Linked DNA regions of Arabidopsis thaliana. The protein of the gene in region 2 interacts with the protein of the main gene of each other region in a pairwise test. Each region holds a gene or a part of one and is shown on either strand. Other genes may lie near its edges. The genes, in order: AT3G22550, RAPTOR1, AT3G63210 and ARSK1.

Region 1 (4,519 bases), 5.3 Mb from region 2:
ATATATTTTTTTTTTGTCAACTAAGCTTTCAAAATTGCTTTAAATTTGTTTATAATTGGAGTGGTGAGGATCTTATACAAATTTTAATGGTTAACATAATGTACCTCACTAATTTATATCATTTTTTGGAAAAAATAATCAGAGTTTTTAATGTTGACAACGAAACGGTGTCAGTCATTCTTGTATAATTATTATCTCAAATAAAATTCAATGTGCTCATTTAAGATAGTCACTCAAGTAAGACATAAATTATTAGGATTTTGATGTATCAATTCAAATTAGATGAGGGCTATATAATAGTGTAATGCTCTTCGAAATAGTACTACAAGTTGTTTATATCACATTGTCTCTTAGATAAAGAAAAAACAAAAGAAGGATGTGAAAACACATAGAGCTTCTTGATCTATAACATCATTTCCACGTAACTAGCCATTGAATATCCTCAATGTGACATATCTTTGCAACTGTCTTTTACATTGTTCGATTGTCATTTCATTGTTTGTTATCTTCTTCATATCAAAACATAGTTACTTATAGTAAGAAAATCATACATGCATCTATAGCTCGGTGACTAGTTAGTAATCTAAGGAGATTTTCAAATCACGATTTCAAACATTGAAGACGAGAAATAGACTAATTTACATGTCCGAGTATCAAAACACGAAACTAAGAATTATGTGTCTTCTCCTTCTTGAATTTTGATGCTCGTGTTTTAGTTTTCTGTCTTGACACCGCAAATGGAATTGAGTTATTGTGATCTCTACTGTTTATTAAAGATTAAAAGTAACCATTAAAGTAAAACATGTATATATGATTATGCATGTAGACACATAATACACATAGATACCGATACCAAACTCTTCTCCAAACCAAAACAAAAGCAACTAAACAAAATTCACCATATCTAACGTTTTATTAATCATAGTCATTATCATAACTTTTTTTTTATATATAGCTCAAATAAAAACTTATTTCATTTAGTATCATTTTCCTCTGACATCATCATCTCTATGGACCTGCATTCACTGCTACAGAAAGCTCTATCTCCCCTGCAAATTAAAATCAAAACAAAAATTACTTATTTATTTATTTTTAAAAATTATTAATTAAAAAATTAAATTAATTAGCCATTCTAAATATTAATTTTCTCATAATTTATATTAAATTTCACATTGTAAATGTCACCATTTAATTGAAATGTAAAAATATGAAAATAAGCCAAACCTGTACATGAAAATGTCATCACGAGGCCCAAGACTCTTCTTACAGTTACAGCAACAACTGAGAAAACTGTCGGGTGGGGAATAATCCGAATCCGATTCATTAACCGGGTCGGAGCTCCGGAAGAAAACGACGCCGGGTTGGCTCTCAACGATACAGTTATCGAATATATGAATGGTTCTCGGGTTAGGCCCGTGACACGTCACGCATGTGTAATCCTCCGATAACTCCATATCGCTCGCCGGGAAATAGCCGGAGATGATTCTGGGAGACCCAAGACCCGACTCGGAACCCGGTTTCTTCGTCTCCGGTTGAGAATTCCTCGTTTTGATCCCGAAATCCGACGAGGAAATCGGAGAATCCGGGACCCGGATCCGAAGCTGAGACCCGAATAGAATTGTCCCGGATCTCGGTCCGGGTTCGGGTGTTTCGTCTTGGATTAGAGAATCGACAATGGCGAGTCCGATTCTTTTGGGTTCGAGTTTGAGACGGGTTTCGGGTTCTTGGGTTTTCGGGTTATCGGATCCAAATGGGTTTTTCAAAACAGAGAAAGGTTTGGTGTCGAGAATTGAAGTTGGACTCGCGACGGCGTCGTTTTCAGTGAAGCTTTTAAAGCTACTAAAAGCTGTGAAGAGCCTCGGAAACGGCGTCGTTTTACTCTGTTTCTGATTCTGACTCTGGTTTGTTTCCGCCATTAAAGCTTGCTTGCTTCTTGATCTCTTCTTTAGCATAATTCACTGCTCAATCACACACACACACAAAAAAGATCAAAACTTTATAACAATCAAAACTTTATAACAATTACACAAAAAGATCATAACATGTAACTCAATAACACATAAAAATCATAACTTTGTAACTCAATCATGCAAAATTGTGTGAACTAACCTGGAAGATCAGAAAGTTACAGGTTGTGGAAGTATGAGAGAAAATGAAGCTAATGCAATTCTGTTGCCTCCATGATTAGAGAAAAAAATATGAAAGTGTGACAAAAGAGAAAAGTAACTGAAAAGACGAGAGCTTTTTTTCTACAAAAATGTTATTTTTTTGTATAACTCCCGAGTTTCTCGCACTTTCTTCCTAAAATATTTTATTTATCAAGTGACATGAAACGTTACACTAGAGATTGGAGAAAAGAAGAAGAAACAAACAAAAGAAAGAAATTGATCCGTTTATTTGTTTTTGTTTGCTTTTGCTTTTTATAAATAATTTGGTTTTGTATGTTTAGTGGGTTATAGTTTCGATGAACTGAGAAAGAGAAAAGAAAACAAAACATCCCCACTGATTCTCTTCCATATCCTCAAAATTCGCCATGAAGTTTTTTCATAAGCAGAAGAAAACAGAGAGCACTAAAGAGACACACACTTAGCTTCTCTATCAAATAATAATACTTATATGAATCACATATATAGAGGGAGAGAGATTTACAATAGAAATCAGTGGGTGAAGAAAACCACTTCACCAGTGAAACTTCCTAAATTCGTTTTATTGTATAAATTATTATTGATTTTAGGAATTTTGTCTTTTTATTCTTTGCTGATTTATTATTTTGCTTTTTGGGTTATGCCAAGGAACCACTCACGTCGTTTTCTACTGACCCTTTCGTCTTTTTATTTTATTTTGGAATTTTCTTATAGTTTTCTTTCTATATTATTTTATTTGTTTATTTTAGAGAAAAGGAACTTTAGAAATTTAATGAGAAAGAAGTTGAATAATACTCGTGTTGTATATCGTACTAGTTACGACTAATCTATCAATGGAGGAGTACTAATGTACTATCACAAATATTGAAATATATGTGATTTATTTTAAGTATTATAGTATTATATAACTTTTCGTATTTTGATTAGAAATTCACATTATAGTGTACTAAAACGTTTTCAAAACAGAAGTTTGCAAAGTTGTTTACGTCTTGCATGTCATTTAATATAGAAGAAAAATGTACTTCTCACTTGCATATGGTGATTAAGTAAATTGTCTATTACTGTTAGGTGATAACATTACATATTTAAAAGGTGTGAATAAGAAAGATATTGAAGAAGACTGTTTTGGAGATGGAAATGTAGAAACAAAATATATTATTCTACTTCATTTTCATCTAAAATTATAGATGGGATATGAAAGACAGAAAGAGATCCTTTGCTAGTAAAATAATGTCACATATGTATATGGATTTATCGATCATATCTTCTTATCGTGACTATAAGTATAACTTTATCCATCAAAAATTTCTCTTAACCGCAGTTTCTTCAACGGGAGTAACTCATATAAACACGAACTAAGCTAGTTTCTTCAACGGGAGACAAATAGAGATGATGAATACGAGAACTTTTGGTTCTCTTTTAAAATCATTATTTCATATATACTTTTTCTCGTGTAATGATGTTAAGGTACGTTGTGGTGGTGATGATGACTATATTGTTAGCATGGGAGCTAAGTGTGGGTGGACTCGGTCGCTCAGAATCGTAATGGAATGAGATACGATCATACGTACGAATATATTTCACAATCTTAACTGAATATCTCTTTTGCTTTCGTAGCTGGCTAGTCTCTTTGGGTGGACATTACACACTTGTTATATTATATATGTATAACACGAAAAAAATATCACTACTTAAAACCAAAACTAGTGATAAATTCGTATGAGCAAACTTGATAATCATTACTTTAAACAAACACTATTAATTGCTACTACATACTCTATGGTCCATAAAGTTTAATGTTTTAGGTTTTATTCTTGTTCCATAAAAATTGACTAAATTTTAACCCGCGGTATACCGCGGGACGATTTATTTTTTAAAAGTAATATATATTAAAATTTGCAAATTTTATTTTTATAAAATATTTATATTTTACAGTTTATAATTGTTATTAAGTAAGGCTATAACACGAATCTATGAGACAATTGTTGAAAAACTAAAGTTGTAACCCCTATTAAAACAGCATATTAATAATATTTTAAAATTTTATAAATATTGATTCAAATACATCCACCATATAACCCAATTACAAAATAAAACTCGTTCTATAATTTCTTTACCCGTCCCGTGATTTTTTTTTTAAAGTAGTAATTTTTAAAATTTAAGAATATAAAAGTTTTGCAAATTATATCATTCTCTAATACATTTATATTTTATATATAGTAACATTATACATACCCCATAACATTTTTGGTTTTATATAATCTTTTCTAAATTAGGATGATTTGATATGTTTAATATTAGTGGTCTTAAAAAATAATAAATTAAAGATTTAACCCGTATTGAAACGGTATATTAATTATATTTAACTTTTTTTA
Region 2 (4,671 bases):
CCTGTCTGAATAATCTCTGGAAAAGTTCTGCAGGGTAAAACTATCATTCATGAGGACACAGAAAAGAAGTCAACTTGAAGAAGATTTACCCTTGATAAATTATGCAGAAAGTTTGGAGAAGTACCATGAGGAAGCACATTCCAAGCAATTGTATCCGTCACTGCTGTGAAAATCCAGTTCAACTCCCCTAACAATGTCTTACGATCGTTTTGCCGGCCTGGAATCCTGTCGATAAGTGATTCATCGATAATTTCTTTCAGAAGCGAACGCCTGCAGAACCTGCAATGGAAATCCTCTTGTGAAAAAGCTGCAAGCTAAACTGAACTACATAAAATGGTGATCTGTTTACTGGAAAAAGGTTAAAAAGAAGCCCAGAATTGAAACCGCACAGACTCAGTAGCAATTAGTTATAGAATAAATATCACAGAAGGAGAAGGCTATCAATCAGGATGATATCGTGAATCTTTTGGTATCATCAAAAATACTTAGCCAGGACAGAAAGAATTATTGCAAACCATACATCAGCAAACTTCCATATGCAAAGTGACTTGGCAGCTAAAGGTATTATCAGTCCTGGTTATCTCACAACTCTTATGATATGCTGTTTTACCACCCCACAAAACTAAAACATACGCACAAGGTCTTCTAAACAAAACTCTATGATCCATCTTTGGTCCCATCCAAAATGCTGCCGAAAAGTTTTGATCTTACCTCATGATGAAGCGAGAACATACTAGCTAAGATTTTATAAACTTAGCTAGACGGAACTTAAACTACATTTTGTAGGAAGAAAACATGACATCTGAGTACGCAAAAAAAGTCAGAGATGGAATGATGATTTACCATTTCAACGCCATTTTAATGGGCGTTGTCAGGCAAGACGTAAAAACATCAGCTGGAAACTCAACGCTCTGAGGAAGTGTCTCATGTACATCACAAGCAGCAAGTAGAATGCAGTCCCTTGAGGATCCAGAGGAACCAGAAGAACCCCAATCATGAAGCTGGCGTAAAGAGTATATGAATTTTATCAACTTATGGAACGAAAATTACAGACTCGAGTCCTAAACTCGACAGGAGATGTGTTCTATAAGTGAAGTGGTTGTTTCCTTTACCTCAGCAAAGGCATTCAGAATCATCCTAGCAGCAGAGCAGTCGAAAACATAGATGGAGGGTGTCTTCAACCAGGAATCAAGTTCACTGATTGGCAAGGGAATGTACTGTGTATAACTCTGCTCAAACAGAGAATCAATCAGCTCGTGGTAACAGACGAGAAGGAACAAGAACATGGTAGAGAAAAGAAAACGCTAGTAAAAAACAGACCTTGTTAAATACCCAAATTTCACCATTAGCTGTAGGTTTTGGCACACCATGCCCATTATAATGGAATAGAACTCTCTCGGTCTTTGCATATTTCCGACAAGTCAAGCACAGCTTCCTCACCTCATCTACTGTCGGATCAAGCTGAACCTTATAGCGGGCCTGAGAAATCATAAAATAAATAAGAAAAGCGTAACTTAACAAAACAATAATGATAGGGTGCAGGGAAAAAAATTGTCACCCTGGGTTGCCATCTCTCATACTGAGTGCTCAAATTTTTTCCAATTGTCTCGAGAGCTTTAGGCGGTGCCATAGAAAATGGATCTGCCATCAGAAAGAAAAAAAATAGAGATAAAATTGACTGTGGCGACAAAAAAAAGGGATAAACACAGAAAAGAAAGAGTGTAATAGGATTGAGTAGGCCAAAGTTTCAACCTATCCATGCCTCGATTCTAGCACAAGGAGATATCTTTATAACATCCGGCGGATCAACAGTAATGTTTAAACACAGAACTAAAGCTACACATCCTGTTTTCATCTGCAAAGAAGAAGAAGAAAAGTTAACAAAGAATATGAGACTTGCAAGAACTCCCCTAGCTATCAGATCCAATGAACACCTGATTTAGCTTCCGACGAGAAATAGAATTATTTCTGAAGAGACATTGAGATTGAAACGAAACGGAAACATGTATCTTTAAGGTTCAGCTCCACAATAAAAACGTTAACACAAGTACACAACCCTCCTCGGTTAACATTACCTAACATAGTAGCGAACAATAGCAGATTTTATAATGAATTCTAGAAAATGTAGTTGTTCTACCCGCCTCTTACATCGTCAGTTGCACTAAACAAGCTAGTCTAACATACTTGCAGCTACCAACAATGTTCGATTGAAAACTTACTCGTTCTTTAAGCCGCCATTTGGGGACCAATACGATCTCAGAAGTCCCCAAGGGAGCAGAAGCCTCGGATGCGTCGTGTCTAAGCTCGCAGAGCACAATAGTCTGAGGCAAGTAAGCCATGCTGGTGGCGGTGGCGGCTCCCTCCGTTGTACCATTCCCGTAGCTACTACTGCTCTTAGCCTCAGAATCCTTCCTCCGGGAATCACCGTCATCGTGACTAGAGACACAGTCTTCGTCGTAACGGTGATTGGAGACCAAAGAAACAGAAGATTGCGAGAACCGAGACACCATTAAGTCTCCTAATGCCATCCAAATCGGAGAACACACCCCCGAATTAACACACCCCCAGAAATCACGCAAATCAAATCCTCAGCCCTAGCTTTTTTGTTTGGATTGTGCGAGATACAGAAAATAAAATAGAAAGGAAGACGGAGAAATCCAGATCAATCAACAAAGCCGCTGCACCAGCGGCGCAGGAGCAGAGAATCCAGCTCGAAAAACCCTCGACAGAGAAGCGGAAGCGGAAACCCTAAGAATCAGGAGAAGCGGAGGATGAAGAACGATGATGATTGGCTACGACGGCGATTGATGTGGAAGCGGCGGCGAATTAACAGTGGTGGTGGTGGTGGCGGCAGAAGAGAAAAAAAAAAGGCAGAGGAGAAAGTGAGGATGCGAAAATTGGGATTTTGTCAAAGAGAGAGACAAAGGGAAAGTCTTCAATGCATTTGCGTTTTCTTTCCACTTCTCTTTCATTCTTTTTCTCCTTTCCGTTTTTAGTTTTACCCTCTTCAGATCAAAAATCCACTCTAATTAATTACTAACTTTAATGCAATGTTATTAAATACTAATATTATAAGATTGAGAGGTATACTAAATATCTATAATTTTAAAATTAATTTATGTTTAAAATGTGGAAATTGAAATTTTGTATGCATCATTGAGAAACAAATTCAAAGAACACCATCAATGGATCGACTAATTAACTGAGAAGTTAATCGCAAATTCAATCTGATTCTTTGATTAAAATGCAACTTAAAACTCACTTTTATTCTAATCACGGTCTAAATCTAAATTTAAAAAATCAGTCTAGTTTAATTACGAAAACAAAAATTCAAGCTACTAAACTAGTAACAGAGAAATGATATTAAATTTAAAAACGATATTAGATTTTTTAAAACTATATTAATTTTTTTTTAAACGAGACAATTGTATTTTCGTAACCATAAATTACTTAGCTGACACTTTGTTACGTGAGTTACCATAAATTCTTCGAATCACCTCTAGGATTCCGTACAACGGGGTACATGAAGGGATCATCATTGCACACGCTTCATAAGTATATTTATGTTTTAATCAGTTTTGTGTTATAACGTTTAAATTAGTGTAATCTAAACACCAACGGTTTTTCTACTCTTACATAGCAATGTCTGGTCTTCTAAACCGAATTCATCTAGGGTTTATTGTAGTTGGTAAAAAAATGAAAACCGAAAAACTAAAAATTTGGTGTAGGGAAAAAATATTGGGTTCAAATTCCATGTTAATCAAAACTTCAGGTTCCGTTTTGCAATTATTCCATTATATTATCAATTTTGGACACAAACATCAAGCTGACACTTTGTTTGTCTGAATAACATTATCAAAGGCCATATATATCTAAAAGTCAGCAGAAAAATATCACAACTCCCTCTCTCTCACTTGGGAATCTCGCATCGAGAAAACAAGAAGATTCGATGATAAGAAAGACACTATGCATACTTGAAGAACTTATATTCGTGCTGACGAGTCTCGTTTCCGCGATCAGGACAGCTCTCCGGACATCGTTTTCCTACTCCGCCGCGGCGCCGCCATTTCTACCACTTCCTCGTCTTTGATGACCAACTGTTTTGCCCCACAGGTGTATCATTCAAGTTTTACTCTAAACTCGAAACTTCGGATCAATATATGTATTTGTGGAATATCATTAGCAGCGAGTTTTTTATTTATTTGTAGATTCTATCAAGTGTATACAGTACTGTACATTTAGTTACATATACTTGCATCTGTGATATATTTCGGTAAACACCAATTGTAATTCTACTTTATGATGTATTGTGTTATTTATATACACATACAAGGGTGAGTGATCATTAGAGAACGGATAAAGATAGTAAATCACATCTTGGACATGGCGTGATCCATCACATCCACGAGGAAATCTACAAAATACAAGATTTGAAACAACATAAATCATGAATAAAAAAATGAAACAAAAAGAAACCAATTTGAAGATATATATGTTAAACTAAGGAGCTAACCAGCGTCGGAGAGGGTGAAGCAGAGAGGAGGAGTGATTCTGAAGACATTCCCATAGAATCCACCTTTCCCCACCAACACTCCCATTTCTTGATACCAAAAGATTTGTATTAAACACTATCTTAAATGCATAAGTATCAACTTTATATGATGAGAGTGA
Region 3 (4,435 bases), about 21 Mb from region 2:
TTAATTTTGGTATCTCCTATATGGCTATATCTAGTATATACGACCTTCCTCTCATTAGTCTTAACATCTACTCCAACATCCATGTTGCATATATTAAGGTACTGGCTGATTCGAATAATAAACTTAAACATGATACTGACACAACTTCACACTTTGTTTTTACAATTAAATGGTTCCGTGAGATTGGGCCTTCTAGCTGCTCTGATATTAAATTTACGAGTCTATTCCAAAAAAAAAAAAGTGATGAGGGTCCTCAACATTTAGTTATCTGTCTTGCAAATTGGGCACGCCACCGAGACATGCAATCATCCCTGGGACTCTAACCTCATTACTTGCGGACCCTATTAGAAACGGCCCATATCTGGCCCGTATTATTAGGGACCGGCCTAATTATGCATGATATAGCCCATCGATATTTAACCACTCAAAATCCCCTCCCCTGCATCTATGGTTTGATCTGGTTTGGTTTGATTGCGATTAGAGTTATTATATACTTACTTGTAAACACCAAATCAGACTCATTTCACAGGATAAAAACACGAGTTCAATGGCTTCCCAGAAACCTTTCTCGACTGAAAAATGAGTCTGAGTTCAGAATCTGAGGTAAACGGTAACAAAACTTGATATATTGTTGTAACTTGGCGCTGTCAAAGTTAACAAAATTAAATCAAAAAGCAAATGGCCTTATAGCAATAACATTTTCCCTCTACAAGACCGCATAGAGCCACGACGAATGTTAGGTTATGGAAAAGACTGATGCTTTTGATATTTTCTGATTCAGATGGCAGTATTCTGCAAGTTTATGATATTATTGAGCCCTCCGAGTCACTCACTCTCATGACACAAAGAAAAAAGTTATCAACTCTCTCTCTATCTTTCACATATCTGCAGGCGAGAAAGGTTATGACTAGAAATACAAATACCCCCACCCAAAAAAAGAAAGAAAGAGAAGAAGCATCAGAGAACTAAAAGAATAATACAAAAGTAGATGATGCTGTGACAAAATCAATAAAAATGAAAAGAGATGGAGAAGGAGTGCTAGCTAGGTCTCCATTTGATCAAGAAGCATCTCCTGGTACCTGCACTCGCTGCTGCAAAAACCTTTCTCTCCCCTGCACCACAACCATTGTGATTAAGTTTAGTTTTGGAACCACTCTATGATCTGATTAAAGTCAAATACATAGATAAAAGATTGTGGAGGTACGAACCTGTATATGTAGATGTCCTGTTTCTGGTCAAGATTCTTCTTGCAGGTGAAGCAACGGCTTAGAAAACTCTCGGTGCTCTTGGTCTCCATGGCTGGTTGGGGTAAAGGAACAGAGCAAGGAGTAGCCTCCACGAAAACAGAGTTGTCGAAGATATGAGTGATGGTTGGGTTAGGACCGTGAGAGATGACGCGCGTGTAGTCCTCCGTCTGGTCAATCTCGCTCACTGCTAAGACCTTCGTTTGGACACAAGGACTAAGTTGACAAGGAGGATATCTGATGCCGGTTTTAGTTCCAAAATCAGCTGATGATGGGATCTGGACTCTGAGCTTTGACCCGAAAAGGACCATCTTGTTGACAGGTTTTCTAGAGTGGTCTCTGTTACTGTCTCCGTCTTTCACGAGATCGGCTAGGCCAAAGACGTCTGGAGAGTGAAAACGCTGGGGATTAGGGATAGTTGGCTCGAAATAGGAAACGGGTTTAGGGTTTTTGGAGGAGAAGATGGATGGGTTAGCTTCGAGTATAGACGTAGGGCTAACGAGTGAGAAATCAGAGTCAAAGGGAGTCATCATCATCTTAGAAGTGAAAAACCTAAACTTGGGAGAGCTAAAGAGAGATGGTGAGCAGTGGCAAGTGTTAGGCTTTGGAGGTGGAGGTTGATCAGCCATTAACAGAGATGTTTGTTTCTTAGTCGTCACGGCTGCTCTAGGTTTGTTTCTAAGCATAGTTAAAGACCGGTGAGGGTAAGGATCATAACTCAGTAGCTTCCATGGAGAGAGGAAAGCAATGAGTCTGCGTAAGAGAAAATATCTAAAATGAAAGAGAAGAAGAATAGAGAGAATTTGGTACAATTATTGAGAAACTCTGACTGCTTCTGGTATTAATGGGGTCTCTCACTCCTATGAAATGATGATCCTCTCCTCACTCGCAAAAATCAGATTAAAAGTTGCTTTCACTTATCTCTTTCCTCTCTTCTTTATTCCTTCCAAAGAGCGAGAGAGAGAGAGTGATCTCGAGAGACGGGACGTTGTAGATTTAACCAAGAAATGCATGCAACTTTACGGATTTACCCCTTACATTTATTAACACATAGAGATCTCAATTATTTTCGATCCATTATTCATATTAGGGACCGGATATGATTGAATGTGTATCGTACTCTCTTTTTTTTGTCGTCGTGTATTTTAACAACAACATACTACATTTTGGGTCGACGATAAAAGATTGGAAACATCTTTTGCAAGATTATCGAATTTGTACTCTCTCTTTATTTTTGTTGCATGTACAAACTTTTATTTAGTTTATTAGGTATACACTTGAACGGCGATACATTCATTATTTGTGCATTGATGTTTGGGCCTCTGAAACACAGGCTCTCCTTTTATTTTATACTACTATTTTTCATTTTTGTAAAAAAAACTGTGAGTTATTTATTTCTTACAATTTGTATCCATTATTATATAATACGGCATTTTGTCATTATTTCGTTTGTCTTTCTCAAATCATAATTCACTTTCATTTGGGTTTCTTGTTTTATTAATCAAAGAATCAGTGACGTTATTTAAAAATGTAGGAACAATAATCAGTGAATAATGTACATGTTAATCTATACTACTAAATATTTTATAAACAGTTTGTGGATAAAAAACAAATGTAATCAGAGGGGGGTCCACAGTTGCACCTGCTTTGCTTAATCCAATAATTAAGTTCTAGATAAGCGCCACGTGTGTTTGTCTACTAGTAAACGTTTGATTGAATGGTCTTGATGCGTTTTACTCCATTACAAGACAAATTATATAATAATAATCACTTATTTGACCCAAAAAGTTATATAACTCGTCGAACCACTTTTATTGTTGTTGATCTTGTTTTTCTCGAATCCCATCTAACTATCGCATTTTCATTGTTTAAGCTCGTCAACTTCTGATTCATACCAAGATTCAAGAAAAAACAAAAAGAGTTTCAAGTTGCAAGATTATGTATAATCATAACTTCACTTACAAATAATCAACGCAAAAGAAAACATAAATATTACTTGGTAGCCTAGTAGGGAAAGAAAAGTAACGTATTCGGATATAATACGATAGAGGAAGGAATTAGTGATAGACCCACGGTGGGGCTAAAAGGATGTGGACAGGAGTGTGTAGGTCCTCTCCTCCTCCTCCTCTACGGTTTTCGCTATTTCTATGACGTTGTGATCATATTGGCCTTTTCTTCTCCCCCTGTCGATTCAAGCTTTTATTTTCTATGTTTTGTTTAGCCAAGGAAATTTTGTGTATTTGTGTCTTGTTTTCATGCCTCAAGGTCTCTTCTTGCCTCAATTGGGTTTCTCTTTTTTTTTTTTTTTTTCTTTCGGATAAATCTAATTTTGTGAATATCCATCTGATTAATTTTCTTACAAATAAGAAGAAACAAATAGCGACTACTCATCCATATATGCCATTGAATGTGCTATTTCTTTTTAATGTAATGAGTGTGTCCATCGATTCCGTAATTGTGTTTGTAACCCATTCAGTCTAACAACTTTGATCCCTTAATCACTACGACTACTACCAGAAGCATACGTATATGTTTTGACTCCCAATCCATAGACGTGACTCTTGATAGATTGATTTCCTTCTAAACCACCTGACGTAGAGGTTATAAAATATAATTGGAGTGGAATCAGCACTAATCATTCATTTGATTCGATACTGAAATTTTTATATTTCTTTCCATTTCATGATTTCTTTGATGACTCGCCATCTTTAATCATGGTTATTATTAATTCGAAAGTGGCACCGATATATTGTGTTTATCAAGGATATAGTCATATCACCCTAATTACCAAAGATAAAGAAAGCAAATGAGCAAGATAATGAGAGGTCCATTTTCTTAAATCATTGCTTCTTTGTCAACATGTCTTAAATCCGAATCATTACTCTTATACACTACAAAATACTCCTTAGAGCTTGAATACCACAATTTTGTTTTTCTGTTCAATGACCAAATATCTCCATGTTCAAACCCATATTGCTCTTTCAGATTGTTTAAGGCCCAACACAAAATAACTTATGCAACCTGTCCAAACCCAACCTGATATCATTCCCACATATAGCCCAATCAATAGACCTATTTTTTTTTTTTTTTTTTCACCAGACTCATAAATGATATTTTCTCAAGACATAAATCTGCTATTCGTTTATAGACAATAACCAGGCTTTGATGACATTTTCTCAAGACATAGCTGC
Region 4 (4,966 bases), on a different chromosome or scaffold from region 2:
CAACATTTATTTATTAACTACTAATGACACTTAATCCTTATCACTAAGGGTTTTAATTGTAAATTTTTGGGCTTTGATTACTTGCTTTTATTAGGTTAACTATTTCCTTTCAACTAATTTTTTTTTTTAATAAGATTTCTCTATATATTTTGAATATCCTGAATTAGCTTATTATTTTAAAAATCTAATTAAAGTTTATACAATTATATTTATATTTAGGAAAAATAATCTTCAAACTGATTGTTATTGTTAATTTGCTTTGAATTTAAGTCATCTAGGGAAAAAAGTATACTTATTGTTGATATAGATAAAATAAATATAAAAATTTAATAATTTATTACATTTATACAGCATTCTGAAACTCAAATATACCCAAACGGTTTCATATGTAATCTTGAAAACGAGAGTGCTCCGAGGAGCTCATAATTTCATTGGAATCACCAAGAATAATCTAGGGGTAGCTGCCGTACCATACATGATTTGATTTTATTGCAATTCCAATCTCCATAATAACCAACCAAGTGATCATCTACTATGTTTTAAAGAGCGAAATAACTTCAACGTTGTCCGCCCAACAAACTGGTGTATATATATATGATTTACAAACATTTATTTTATATTTCTTGTACATGACTCTTTTGTACAAAGTATTTTTGAATTATGTAAAGGAAATTAATCTAAAATACCAGAGAACTAGGATACTTATAACATCACCTTTCTTTCCTTCAAATTTTTGGAAGAATGGTCATAACTTAAGATAAGAATTGCGTTCATAGAATATGAATGCTTAATAATTCATATGAGAAAATGATGTATTTCAAATGCCATCGTTTTGCTTTGCCTTGGATTCCTTGTAAACGAGAGAATCTGAATAAGCGATGTTCACACGTCTTTTGCCTTTACGGTGATGCCTAAACTTATTTATATCAACAAACTTCTTTCCTTCTTTGTTGTTATTGCCATCATGCTTCCTAATATCAACTTCTTGGATAGACTCTAAGACCTTAACCACCTCACACATTGTAGGTCTATACTTAGGATGTTGGCTTAGACACTTGTATGCTAGGGAAGCAGCTACCTGAGCCGCTTCTGTTTTGTGCTGGTTCGCGAGCCTCGGGTCAATTATCCTCTCTAACTTTCTTTGGTCCCTTAACATAGGCCGCGCCCATTCCACTAGGCTTTGTTCCCTCCGTGTTCGGGTATTGTCCATTGACCGTTTTCCGGTTATCAGCTCTAACAAAACTACTCCAAAACTGTATACATCATTCATCGTCGTCAAATGACCTACAACACATGTAAACCATTAAAGACATATCTCAAAGAATATCGCTTCACGGTAAAAGAAATAAATTCCTTACAAAAATGTTACCAGTCATGATATATTCGGGCGCAGCATAACCTTGTGTTCCCATCACTCGGGTAGTTACATGCGTATGTTCGCCTTCAGGTCCATCTTTGGCTAGACCGAAGTCAGATAATTTGGCGTTATAGTCCTGAAATATCAAAGAGTCAGTTGAGAAATACCACTTTAATTTGATTTAATAGTGGATACAAAATTTAAAAAGGAAAAAAAAACTCACGGAGTCTAACAATATGTTAGAGGTTTTAAAGTCTCTGTAGATGACAGGTTTCTCTGCTTCATGGAGAAAAGCTAAACCTTTGGCGGCTCCGAGAGCTATCTTCATCCTTATTCCCCAAGCCATTGCTAAGCTATTTCCTGTCCCAATTCACACACTTTTCAAAGTTAGTAATACTATTGAATATTATCTAAATTATAAAAAATATATAGTTTTTTAAGAAGTTATTAATGTAGTGTACGACCCATAAATAAAGTAAGAACTTGACGAAGTTAACGTGAACCATATGGATTCTTTTCTTCAATATTTTTTATTCTTGTCATTCTATAACTAAAACGTAATTAAAGTCTTCGTGGAGTTGTTCTTTTAGGTTTAAACAGAAAAAATGTTTTGTAACGCGGTCTAGAACATATATAGCAAAAATTGAAACAACTTTTAGCAAGTTAGGTAAAAATATAGTAGATGACGTACTTCGAAAGAGCTGATTCTCCAAGCTACCTCGAGGCATGTACTCATAAACAAGAACTCTTTGCTCTTCTTCACAACAAAACCCTATCAGCTTCACAAGATGTTTGTTACTTAGTTGTCCCAAAAATAATATCTCCGCCTGCAAACAAAAATAAATTTTGTATACACTGAAAAAAAAAACTTTATGAAGAAATTTCACAAAAGATATATATATTTAATAACATACTGAAAAATGGCCAGATTCATATAGCTAATTAAGAAGATAAACCAAAATTCAAAAAATATATAAAATAATCGAGACGGTCTTCGTAATTAAATTGTTCCTTGTGAATAGAAAAGTCTTGAATGTAGACAAAAACATACATAAAGAGAAAGAAATGTTACCAGCCATTCTCTATGGCCTTGATGGCCATGAAGATCAAGAGCCTTTACAGCAACCGGTTGGGCTTCGATACCCGGTTTAACCTTATCATCAATAAACCCTTTGTAAACCGGCCCAAACCCTCCTTCCCCCAACATGTTACTTCTAGAGAAATTATGCGTAATCACTCTCAGCTCAGACAACGTGAACAAACGAAGCTTCTGCGATGTGAAGGAGTGAGAGAGATCATCCATAACCGACATGGGCGAGCTTGGATCGCTTATGTCCGATAAAGACAGCCTCTTGAACGCTGGACAAGTTCTTATTTTCATTACAGCCTTCTCCCCTCCTTCGTATTTGCTTGCGTTCTTTGCCTTGTAACACCCCAAGAACAGAGATGTCAATGATGTTTTCTTCTTCTTGAACACTGCCATTTTCAACTTCTTCTTTTGTGTTATTTGGGGAAAAAATGGAGAAAGTTAGTCTTTTACTCCTTTTGATGAATCTTTTGTAGAGTGCGTAGGTTTAGAAATTAAGGATGTTCTAGTTAACCTACTTGTCTTCAAAGTCCTCTAATTTATAGTAGTTGTTGTGTCTTATTCGTACTGACCGACCTTTGAGTTTTCAAATTTATTTATATATACAAAAAGTTTGCTTTTTTTTTTTTGTATTAGTTGTATAAAAATGTTGAAGTTATTTTTGGTGGATATATTTATATTGTTCTAAGCTCTATGCTGATATTTTTTTCAGGAGAAACACGATTCCATGTTCACATTAATCCTCACAATAATATTGAAAAATAACGCAAGTTGTTTTCTTTTTCTAATCACAATATAATCAATATTATTGATTATAAATTCATTCAGTTGTTTGTACTTAGACTTCATCTCACCAAAGTCTACGGGCTATATAATTTTGCTTATATATTCAATGAATTGAAAATTGTCTCTCGCTCTACATTCCAAATACGATCTCTCGTTTCATTATAGACTTAGTTCTGTCTAATAGTTTTTGTTGTAATAATTTAGGTAATTTAAAAATGATTTTGTGAATTTAATGGTGTCTCTCTATATTCCACTATCTCGATTTCTAGTTTCATAAGACTAATTAGTTATTTACTAATAGTTTTTGTTCTAATAATTTAGGCAATTAATTTAAAAATGATTTGGTATACATTTCAGGCTGGCAAATAAATATTACGTATAAAGAAGATTTGATTCGCCTTGTTGAAAGGAGAATGAGATGATTAGGCCATAATTGGATGTCCGTTGACTTTGTTTCTTCCATGATTAAAATTTAAGAAGTAAGGAAGAGAAACAAATTTGAACCATTGATTTTGTTACTCTTAACTAAATAATCATTTATTCAATAACTAAAGGTCGGTTGGTCTTCAGGTACGAACGTTCTTCTATACTAACTTGTAAATTGTAAACGTAACAGATTGTGCAGTAGAGATTGCGGTTACAAATGTTTGACAACGATCACAAAAATTGTTTAACACCGCGTATTCTTCCGCCAACGTTTGCGGCAGCGGGTGGTTAAAAATTACACTATTTTTAAGTTTTAAATTCAAATAAATTTAATAACTTTTTTGACTCTTGGAGTCATGCTCTGAACACAAATGATTCATTTTCCGGAGAACATAAGTGCATTGTATCCGTCTAATCGTCCCAACATACTTCACTATAAATGTAATTTAATACTAACAATTAAATTGAAGTGTTGTTCGTCGCATGCATGTATGTACGTACAATAATTATATAGTTTCATTATCATAGAACTGTCGGGGAAATTGTGAATCATCACCAGCCGCCACATGAACTTATTTGCCGTTGTTCTGGTTTAAGGCTGGTAAGATTTATTCGGCGGCTGTAGGCCTGTAGCCCTTGAAATATGGTAGACAAGATCGTCCATATAATTAAGATTTTGTTTTTCACTTCTAAATTAATTAATGGGTGACTTGGGCGATTTTGTATTGTTGTTTAGTGGCTAGAAAGAAAACTTTTAACGATAAATTTACTTATGCAAAAATTATATTAGTTTAGTTTAGCAACTTTATATGTACTTAATTAGTAAAATAATACATTTAAATGTAAACTATTTGTACATATTAATGTTGTCCAAACAATATGCACTTTTTGAATTTTTTTACTGTATTCTCCACCTAGTTTTTCTAATTCATCCAAGCATTTTGATGAATTTGCATGTCTCCATAGATGAATTAGTATCTACTATCTCTAAAAACTCAATCTCCACCGAAGATATTGCTTAACCAATGTGCTCCTAGACCAAATCCAAAACCTTAGCCGCTTCATACTTAACATCCACTTTTGTAGCATCCTCAAACTGTTTTACAACCTTTTCAACCGGGACACAATCGCCTTGTCTTAGTAGTGAAGCGTAGGTTAATCATGGATGATGATTTTTGTTCTTTGACAACATCTGGTAAGGTTTTTGGTTTATGGCTCACCCTTTTTACTTTTTCGGTCTTTCTTATATAGTGTTTTGGTGGGTTTTTTCTCGTTCATTTTTCACGACCTTCTTATCCTATTACTAGGGT

The links.
Region 1: the proteins of RAPTOR1 (region 2) and AT3G22550 interact in a two-hybrid assay, tested with the Arabidopsis thaliana proteins (one large-scale study listed by BioGRID).
Region 3: the proteins of RAPTOR1 (region 2) and AT3G63210 interact in a two-hybrid assay, tested with the Arabidopsis thaliana proteins (one large-scale study listed by BioGRID).
Region 4: the proteins of RAPTOR1 (region 2) and ARSK1 interact in a two-hybrid assay, tested with the Arabidopsis thaliana proteins (one large-scale study listed by BioGRID).

The regions. Positions count from the first base shown.
Region 1 is NC_003074.8:7,990,854-7,995,372, forward strand, and holds AT3G22550 (NAD(P)H-quinone oxidoreductase subunit, putative (DUF581)), read right to left. Parts: upstream 2,736-4,519; 5' UTR 2,110-2,735; intron 1,959-2,109; 5' UTR 1,953-1,958; coding exon 1,225-1,952; intron 1,050-1,224; coding exon 974-1,049; 3' UTR 550-973; downstream 1-549. UniProt on the Arabidopsis thaliana protein: May act as an adapter to facilitate the interaction of SnRK1 complex with effector proteins, conferring tissue- and stimulus-type specific differences in the SnRK1 regulation pathway.
Region 2 is NC_003074.8:2,692,384-2,697,054, forward strand, and holds the start of RAPTOR1 (Regulatory-associated protein of TOR 1), read right to left. Parts: upstream 3,018-4,671; 5' UTR 2,529-3,017; coding exon 2,220-2,528; intron 1,856-2,219; coding exon 1,753-1,855; intron 1,642-1,752; coding exon 1,559-1,641; intron 1,480-1,558; coding exon 1,321-1,479; intron 1,230-1,320; coding exon 1,113-1,229; intron 1,002-1,112; coding exon 844-1,001; intron 280-843; coding exon 125-279; intron 28-124; coding exon 1-27. Other genes in the region: PYD4 (PYRIMIDINE 4), read right to left, coding at 4,371-4,414, 4,514-4,600. UniProt on the Arabidopsis thaliana protein: Probable component of the plant TOR kinase pathway that recruits substrates for TOR. Modulates plant cell growth and regulates the activity of ATPK1 kinase in response to osmotic stress.
Region 3 is NC_003074.8:23,352,977-23,357,411, forward strand, and holds AT3G63210 (mediator of aba-regulated dormancy protein (DUF581)), read right to left. Parts: upstream 2,505-4,435; 5' UTR 1,931-2,504; coding exon 1,209-1,930; intron 1,129-1,208; coding exon of another isoform or gene 1,113-1,128; coding exon 1,043-1,112; coding exon of another isoform or gene 1,015-1,042; 3' UTR 538-1,014; downstream 1-537. Other genes in the region: AT3G63215 (uncharacterized protein), read left to right, coding at 1,015-1,128, 1,254-1,364. UniProt on the Arabidopsis thaliana protein: May act as an adapter to facilitate the interaction of SnRK1 complex with effector proteins, conferring tissue- and stimulus-type specific differences in the SnRK1 regulation pathway. Involved in seed dormancy control.
Region 4 is NC_003071.7:11,191,420-11,196,385, forward strand, and holds ARSK1 (root-specific kinase 1), read right to left. Parts: upstream 3,013-4,966; 5' UTR 2,841-3,012; coding exon 2,430-2,840; intron 2,185-2,429; coding exon 2,049-2,184; intron 1,718-2,048; coding exon 1,581-1,717; intron 1,494-1,580; coding exon 1,370-1,493; intron 1,285-1,369; coding exon 818-1,284; 3' UTR 559-817; downstream 1-558. UniProt on the Arabidopsis thaliana protein: May play a role in the signal transduction pathway of osmotic stress. May be involved in plant defense signaling.